Linked DNA regions of Lepisosteus oculatus. The protein of the gene in region 1 purifies or fractionates together with the protein of each later gene. This does not show direct contact. Links are inferred from orthologs where the notes say so. Each region holds a gene or a part of one and is shown in the gene's direction. Other genes may lie near its edges. The genes, in order: ecd and znhit2.

Region 1 (3,917 bases):
GTCAAATATTATATTACAATCCTCCTTCACGTCTCTCTGAAACAATGGAATAGGCAAACCTATGGATTTAACTCTACAAAGTACATTTTATTCCCCTTCAGTTGCGATTTTCTCGCTGTGACGAGAGGGACTGACTCCGAGAAGACATTTAAAACAGCGATGTCAGTTATCGTACAAAGGGCACAGTTACAGAATACTCACATCTCCAGGCTGTGTGACACAGGTCGTCTGCTGTATCTCGAAATCATTTTCTTGTTCACAATTTCCCCATATCCCTCTCCGACAGGTCCTCCGTTAAGCTATCCTCTGATTCCCGTCCCCGTTGCCTCTTTCGCTGGGGGTGTACCATCGTTCTCACTTTCCGTGAGCTCCACTACTCAAGTCCTCAGTCCTGTAGGATGTCTGTTTACTTGAATATGGCCAATTTTATACTGATACGTCTAGAACGGGGTGAATATAGCAGAGGAATTAAGTCACCTAATGACAGAAATGTCTACGTTTTTTTTTCAAAAACGACATATTCAGAAATACAAAAGTTCTAATTAGCTGTGAATTGTATTTTTCTGGAAGATGGACGGTTGACCATACCACCCTCTTAAAATGTTTTAATGTTTTCAACCCAAAACTAGTTTAGCACCATCTAACAACAACAACTAGGCTGTCATGGATACCCATCTTACCCCTCTATCGTCATGCCTTCTGGGAAAAGTAGTTTTTGCTTCCCAACAATGTCTGCGATTTACGAACTCGGCGAATCAGCAAAGGACTTCAGTTCCCGACTGCCACATAGGAGGGGCTACAATGCTCTCTGGGAAATGTAGTATTTATCTTAAATGCATCTGTTTTAAAGAGGGCAATGCGCCCATATACTGGAACTGAGTAGAATAAATATATTAGCTAAACTCTTAATTCTATAATAACTAACTGTCTATCAGAGAAAATTAATACAGTTGGAACTATTGTTTCAAAAATGCTTGTTTCCCAGTCGGGTCATTATGACCGTGCTTTTCCGGGAACAAGAAACTAAAGGAATGACCTGTGTCGTCATGCGTGCGTCAAGGCTGACAGTGTACTTTCTTGAATTGCCTGTATACAATTTTTAAACGTGTGGAGTACATATAGGTTAATTTGTTCCTGTCTGTAATTATTTTGAAAGGTATACCCCCTGGAGACAAAGAGTAAGAATGTTTATTTTATACAGTGGCCTTTTCAATGATCGTCAGAGTACTGCATGCTTTTACTTTTCAATACTGATATGGCGTTATATTAATATTTTGAATCATATGATGAAAGCTACTTTTGTAGCTTAATGTATTATTCAGTGAGTAGCTCTAATTAAAACTTTTAGCTTCTTTCCATTAATCTATTTGCCTTGATTTAAAGTAAAAATGTGTGCATCGTACAAGAGGATGTTAATCTTAACTGCTTGCTGAAAATGGATGAAAACTTTTTTGAAAAATAGATATTTTCTGAAATAGTGAAAACGTGGTTGCATAGTTTCAGTCATCAGAAATAATGTCTTTCTTGAGTTATTCTGGTTATATTTTTCTTACCTCAAGGAACCCATAATCGAATCGTTGTTTGAGCCATGTTTCGAAACCTTCTTTTATGTATTTGATTTAATATGTTCACGTTTCTGCTGGGTCTCCATCAGTACTGTCGATAAATGCTAGCTTGATGCTACAGTTGTTTAAGGAAGAACATCCTCTCAATATGTAATACAAATGAAACAGTACAACAGCTGTATACATACACTACGGAGTTTAATTCCTCTTAAAAGATTTTTTACATTTATAATCTTGGTTTTCATGAAATATGTCAAAGAGCTTCGGGTGCACACTATCTAAAATGAGCGTGATGAGAGTATTATTTCAGTCTGGTGTTGTCTTCCTGTGTGGACAGCAGACATACAAGGGCACAATGGATGTGCTGAAAAGACCCCCTGTTGCCGAGGACATGGTGCAGTACCGCCTGTTTCTGGTCCAGCCCAATGCTTGTGATCCTCAAGCCGCTCAGCAGCTTCTGCAGCAGGATGTGGAGAGGATTCTGGTGCAGTTTGCGCCTCTGCTCGTGCAGTACATCTGGCAAAACCAACCTTTTAACATCAAATATGTTCCCGAAAAAGGTCAGCAAATGAACATCATTGTGGTAGGCAATCGAATATGTATGGTATTGTATTCTGTTTTCATGCAGTTCAGCTCTCTCACGTGAAATGTTACTGTAAATATAATAAAAACTGCATTACCTATACATTTCATTTTGGCTGTTTTATTAAGCATATCATATCATATTAAACATGTATCATTCTGCCTTGCAGCTGGTGTTCCTGCTCACATTGGGGGTTCCACACAATTTGGGGACAATGTGGAAGATGAATGGTTCATTGTGTATCTTATACAGGAGATCACCCGAACCTTCCCTCACCTGGCTGCCAGGTAAGGTTGTACAGCCATGTTGGAGCTGAGGTTATCTGATATTAGTTTTCAATCTTTTTTTTTTGTTTCAAGTTTTCCATCTTTCCAGAGATGTATTTCCTGAGGGTCCAGCCTGCTTATGGGCATTAAAGATTCCAGGATGCTATTCATAAGAGTAGGGGCGCACTGAGTTTTGGGAAAAATGCCATTTTAGCCCTTTTCTTTCTCAGTCTCTCTACTTTATTTCCTGGCTTCTTTGCCTTATCTTTGTATGAAATGACTGTTTATGAGTGTCTCCTAAAAGGATGATGCACTGTGGAAGGAAGAAGTACTTCATCATCTACAAAGGACTTTGGAATCCTTCAAAACGAAAAATACTGTATAAATACAAGTAACTAATACTTATGTTAGGTTGAAGGAAATTAAGATATTCCTCCTTCCCTGTCTCTATAGGGAAGTCCCTGTTGCCATTGTGTGATTGTGTTGGTTTGCAGGATTGAGGACAATGACGGAGAATTCTTGCTGATAGAAGCAGCTGAGCACCTTCCCCGATGGCTGAATCCAGAGAGCAGTGAAAACAGAGTGAGAACTTGTCCCTTTTGGCAGTCAGGTTCTTTGCAACAGGGAAAGCATTGTAACATTTGACAGACTCAGTAAAAATGTATGTTAACTTTGCATAAGTGTTAAAAGTTTTATAGTGCATCAAATCACAGAAAATCACAGAACAGTTTGTACTTCAAAGTCTGTCTTAAACACCCTTTTTTGTCTCCAGACCCTTAAAGCTTCAGTTTCCAGATTTGTAAACTGTCTTAAACTTATTTGTCAGGTGACAGAGGATGGCTGGTCAATCCCCACAGCTTTCTGGGGAATGTAGTCCAGTCAAGTGCTGTCATCATGGTCTCATCCTACTGTCCTCTCACATTTTATAAAGTAAATTAAACATTCAAAACACAAAAAATGCCTTTCTGTTAAAAGGACAGGATGGTTCATGGTTTACTTTTTCCCATCCTACCTTTTATTTATTTATCAGGAGAGGCTGAGCAGACTGATGCCTTGTGCACTCTGTCTATGCAGGTATTTCTGTACCGGGGTGAGCTGCACATCATCCCTGCACCCCAGGACCCTGGGGAGGAGGGGTGGCCCCCTGATGCCACACCCACCTTGCCCCAGGCGCTGGCCCTCCTATCCTCACAGCCTGAGACCTGTCTGGCTGCCCAACCCACCCGCACTGCTGTGGCCAAGAGAGTGAAGGGGTAATGAGGGTAGAGGACCTGATGGTCCTTTGTGCTGTAACATTTCCAATACCTTATTACCTTTTTCATTTCATTCATAATAATAACAATATTATTATAATAATATAATCAATCATTATATTAATATCAATCAGTATCTTAATAACAAGGGTTATTATTACTATTGATTAAATAAGATTCTAATTTAAGAGCAGTTTTTTCAGGTTGTCTGAACTGCAAGCATCTGTCCTGATACAGTAGATATTCTGGT
Region 2 (3,917 bases), on another chromosome or scaffold:
GGGACCACTCTGGCGTCTGGGTTCGCCTCAGAACCGGCAGGCGGCCCCCGACTTCCCCCTCGCGATGTTCAGGGCATGAAAACGACTGGGTTTGGAGCACAGTGGTGCAGCGCTGGGGCCCTGTGCGCTGTCTGTGTGGAGTTTGCACGTTCCCCTCGTGTATACATGGGTTTCCTCCCACAGCAGAGACAGGCTGGTGGGTTAATTGGCTTCTGGGAAAACTGGCCCTGGTGTGTGTGTGTGTGTGTGTGTGTCCTGTGATGGACTGGCGTCCCATCCAGGGTGTACCCTGCCTTGCGCCCGTTGCTTGCTGGGATAGACTCCCGCTCCCCCCGTGACCCGTAACCAGTAAGCGGGTTAGAAAATGGATGACAAATCGATTACTAGATCGACGCTAACTAAAACAGAAGCAAGAGGTATTCTCCAAAATTTCCACTGGCTGTTTTCCTCGTTACACATTCATACAGCTGGAGCTCGGAGGGCAAGAGGGCACCTTTGGGGCTGCTTTACAGCACCAATACCCCCTCCCAGCCTTCACACAGGATTCGAACCCGTGACCTCTCCAATCAGTGAGTCCTGGGCTCCAAACACATAACTACCTCTTAGACCGGACACTGCGCGGTCACCCTCTTCCGAGTAAAATTGTTCAAAAAAATAATCCCTCTGATAGCTTCACCGACTCAAGCGGATTAATCATACACTTCACAGGTGGTGCAAAACTTCTACAATTTCCGTTTTCAAACATCGGCGGCGTTCTGGTTAGGGAGATCCCGGGGAACGTGTTTGTACAAAGGCTGGCACAGCTCGGACGAGATGCAGGTTCAAGAGTTTTAACAGTAAACGATCGATGAGGTTTTCTTTTCTGGTCGGGCAAGGTTCCCGTACAAACAGCGCCACCACCTCCTTCGGAGTGACTTTTTCAGAACACAGTTTTGTTTTCAGGTTAACGCTGAATGAAATATTTTCGGCTCAGAAGTAAAACACTACCACCTCCGGGAGGAAACACAGAGAGCAACACACAGGTGGTGCCCTGGCCGTCCTGTAAATCCACTGCTGAGTGACTGTTAAATCAGAACAGGCCGGTCGGGTTCCGTAGAGATCCGCTAAACCTCAATCACAGCCGCTGGGCTGTGGACGGTACCGGTCACCCTGTAACTCAGTAACCCGGAGCAAGACGACTTTTAAAAGCCCCAAGATTCTGTCTTGTTCGGGAAAGCTCATTTTGAGGCACGACCGCACGCAACCCCTTTACTGCACCGGTTCGGAGGCGGCCTGCTGTCCAGCACTGACCCGGTTCGGCGGTTAACTCGCCGTTCGCGCTCGGATCCAGATTCTCCGCCGCCATCTTGGAAGAGACGAGAATACGGCACGTCTCTGCCGGTGACGTCACTGCCCTGGATCGCCATGGCAACCACCGAGTTTTAGCTAAATTAAAAATGTTTTTTTTTTAAATTATGACTCCAATTCTTTTTAGAGAATGAAATGACTGTTCATCAGAGAGGCGGATGTTCTCTACGTTATGTAAGTGTCCACAAACTCCTTGCGGGATTGTGTAAACTTACAAGCAACAGATTCCAAACAAGTCGCCCTTTAAACTCGTACAGAACGAAGCTTTTGTTTGTAAAAGATATCCGAGTAAAGTAGTCGAGTGTGTATTTCGAGACGGCGGCTGTATTTACAGACGTGGATGAGAACAGTTTTGCAGGCGCCTTGCGACAACGCACGACAGTGGGGCTTGCTTTACAGCACCCACGCGGGGCGAGTGTGGGAGTTTGGAAGAAGAGATGGCGTCTAGAAACAGTGTATACTTGTTGTAAAAAAAAAAAGGGTACAGATTTTATTGATAGGAATCGGGATAAGCCATTCAGACACCGGTTTGGCAGTCAGGTCATTCCCAGGCGAAAAGTGAGACACGAACCGGGACGACTGTCCGACGTTATCGCGACACTTGGCGTATTCATGTGAGTATGAGTTACTAAGCGTTTTTTGTTTATGAGTTTCGCGGATAAAAGTGGCATTTTGTTGTTTGGCTTTAAATAAATGCATCACTTTGAATTTGTAATACCGAGTTTCCGAGTTTCTTTTGCAGTTTTTAATTCGAAACGTTTCATACGGCCGTGTAAATACCGTTTTGTACTACATAGTCGAGCATATTTTCTTGGTTTGTAGGATCAGCCTGGTCTAGGTCCTCTTATGGTAAGAAACTACGCTGCCTGCTTAGGTCAGCTAATTAGACCGAATTCTGTTTTGGTCATCTGCTACTTGACAGCGAGGTTATGTGAAATCGGCTACGCCCCTGCTGCAGCATGTATTGTAATCCGAAGACCAACGTTACTTGTTGAATCGATCACAGCCAAACAAGTGTTCACAATCTACACGAGCTGGGTGCTGGGTATTAATACTAATAATTACGGTTATAGAGTACTTTTCTGGTGACTCCATTCAAAGCATTTTAGAGGTAGTGGGGACTCCCCTCCAGCCCCACCTGGATGAGGCGCCAGTCCGCTCCCCACACCCCAGCTCTCAGTGGGGAGGAGAGCAGAGTGATGGAGCCAGTTCAGAGAGGGGGGTTATTAGGAGGCCATGATGGGTAAAGGCCAGGGGGAAATTGGGCCAGGACACCAGGGTAACACCCCTACTCTTCTCGAGAAACGCCCTGGGATTTTTAATGACCACAGAGAGTCAGGACCTCGGTTTGACGTCTCATCTGAAGGACGGAGCCTGTTTACAGTCTAGTGTCCCCCGTCACTATACTGGGGCATCAGGACCCACACAGACCGCAGGGTGAGCGCCCCCTACTGGCCCCACTAACACCTCTTCCAGCAGCAGCCTCAGCTCTCCCAGGAGTCTCCCCTCCAGGTACTGGCCAGGCTCACACTGCTGGGCTCCAGTGTGCTGCCCGATGTGAGCTGTATAGTGACATAGCCGCTGTCTGTATTTATGCCAGCCGGTCTCTCTTAGTTGAAATGGGGCTCTCCAGGAGCTGTATTAGAGGAACACACTCAACGGGGTAGCAGTACGGTAACACAGTGCTTTTTATTTACAGTGAGGGGGTAAAAAAAAACCAAAATCGAGCTCTTCTCTGACTTAAACTTAAACTGACTGAACTGCTTATTGGCTTGAAAGCAGACAAGCTTCCTCTTAACTTACAGTGCCCGCGGGCCAGTCAGCCAGGGGCAGAGCACAGCGGAAACTCGTCTCTCCCGTCTCGGCAGCAGATGCTGACCATCCCCGAATCTCTCCCCCCTCTTCCTGGTTTTGACATCGTCGCCGACCAATCGTCTTCCGCCTGCTGGTCAGGTGACCCCCACCCCACAGCCTTCTGGGAAATGTAGTTCCAGCACGACCCCTCCGTCTGTATGATGTGAATGCCAGTGTGCTCCTTCCGGTTAATTTAACTCCGGGGCCTGACTGTTCTATCCTGTCTTCAGGCGGGACTAGGGATCGGGAATCCCCGTTCCTCGGCAGCATGAACGTCCTGCGGGTGAGAAGGCTGCCGGCTTGCGTGACCGGACTCCTCTCGGCGCAGGGGGGCGGCTGGACCGAGCAGGAGGCGTGGGCCGAGACCCCCACGGAGCCGGCGGCCGTGGGCACGGGGGACATCGGCGGTGTTGCGGTGCCGGGGAGGGCGGGGGCGGAGCCCGGCGAGCCCCTGCTGACGCCGGCGAGGCCGTGCGCGCTGTGCCTGCAGAGCCCGGCTCGCTACACCTGCCCGCGCTGCCAGGCGCCCTACTGCGGCCTGGGCTGCTACCGCGGGCCGCGCCACGCCCGCTGCTCCGAGGACTTCTACAGGCAGGCCGTCCTGGGCGAGCTGCGCGCCGCCGGCCGGGCCGGGGAGGAGGGCCGACGGCGGATGCAGGAGATCCTGGTCAGGCTGAGGGAGGAGGAGGAGGAGGAGGAGGAAGAGCTGGCCGAGA

The links.
Region 2: the proteins of ecd (region 1) and znhit2 purify together in Homo sapiens (affinity purification with mass spectrometry; 3 studies listed by BioGRID and IntAct, counting the BioPlex papers as one, with this or other methods). This does not show direct contact. The link is inferred for Lepisosteus oculatus from reciprocal best matches to the Homo sapiens genes ECD and ZNHIT2.

Annotation. Positions count from the first base shown.
Region 1 is NC_090699.1:28,766,692-28,770,608, forward strand, and holds the start of ecd (protein ecdysoneless homolog), read left to right. Parts: upstream 1-1,010; 5' UTR 1,011-1,178; intron 1,179-1,902; exon of another isoform or gene 1,903-1,905; 5' UTR 1,906-1,920; coding exon 1,921-2,125; intron 2,126-2,317; coding exon 2,318-2,435; intron 2,436-2,908; coding exon 2,909-2,996; intron 2,997-3,488; coding exon 3,489-3,667; intron 3,668-3,917. Other genes in the region: protein FAM149B1, read right to left, coding at 202-248. UniProt on the Homo sapiens protein: Regulator of p53/TP53 stability and function. Inhibits MDM2-mediated degradation of p53/TP53 possibly by cooperating in part with TXNIP. May be involved transcriptional regulation. In vitro has intrinsic transactivation activity enhanced by EP300.
Region 2 is NC_090713.1:21,259,026-21,262,942, reverse strand, and holds the start of znhit2 (zinc finger HIT domain-containing protein 2), read left to right. Parts: upstream 1-1,528; 5' UTR 1,529-1,961; intron 1,962-3,431; 5' UTR 3,432-3,469; coding exon 3,470-3,917. Other genes in the region: pre-mRNA-processing factor 39, read right to left, coding at 1,291-1,345. UniProt on the Homo sapiens protein: May act as a bridging factor mediating the interaction between the R2TP/Prefoldin-like (R2TP/PFDL) complex and U5 small nuclear ribonucleoprotein (U5 snRNP).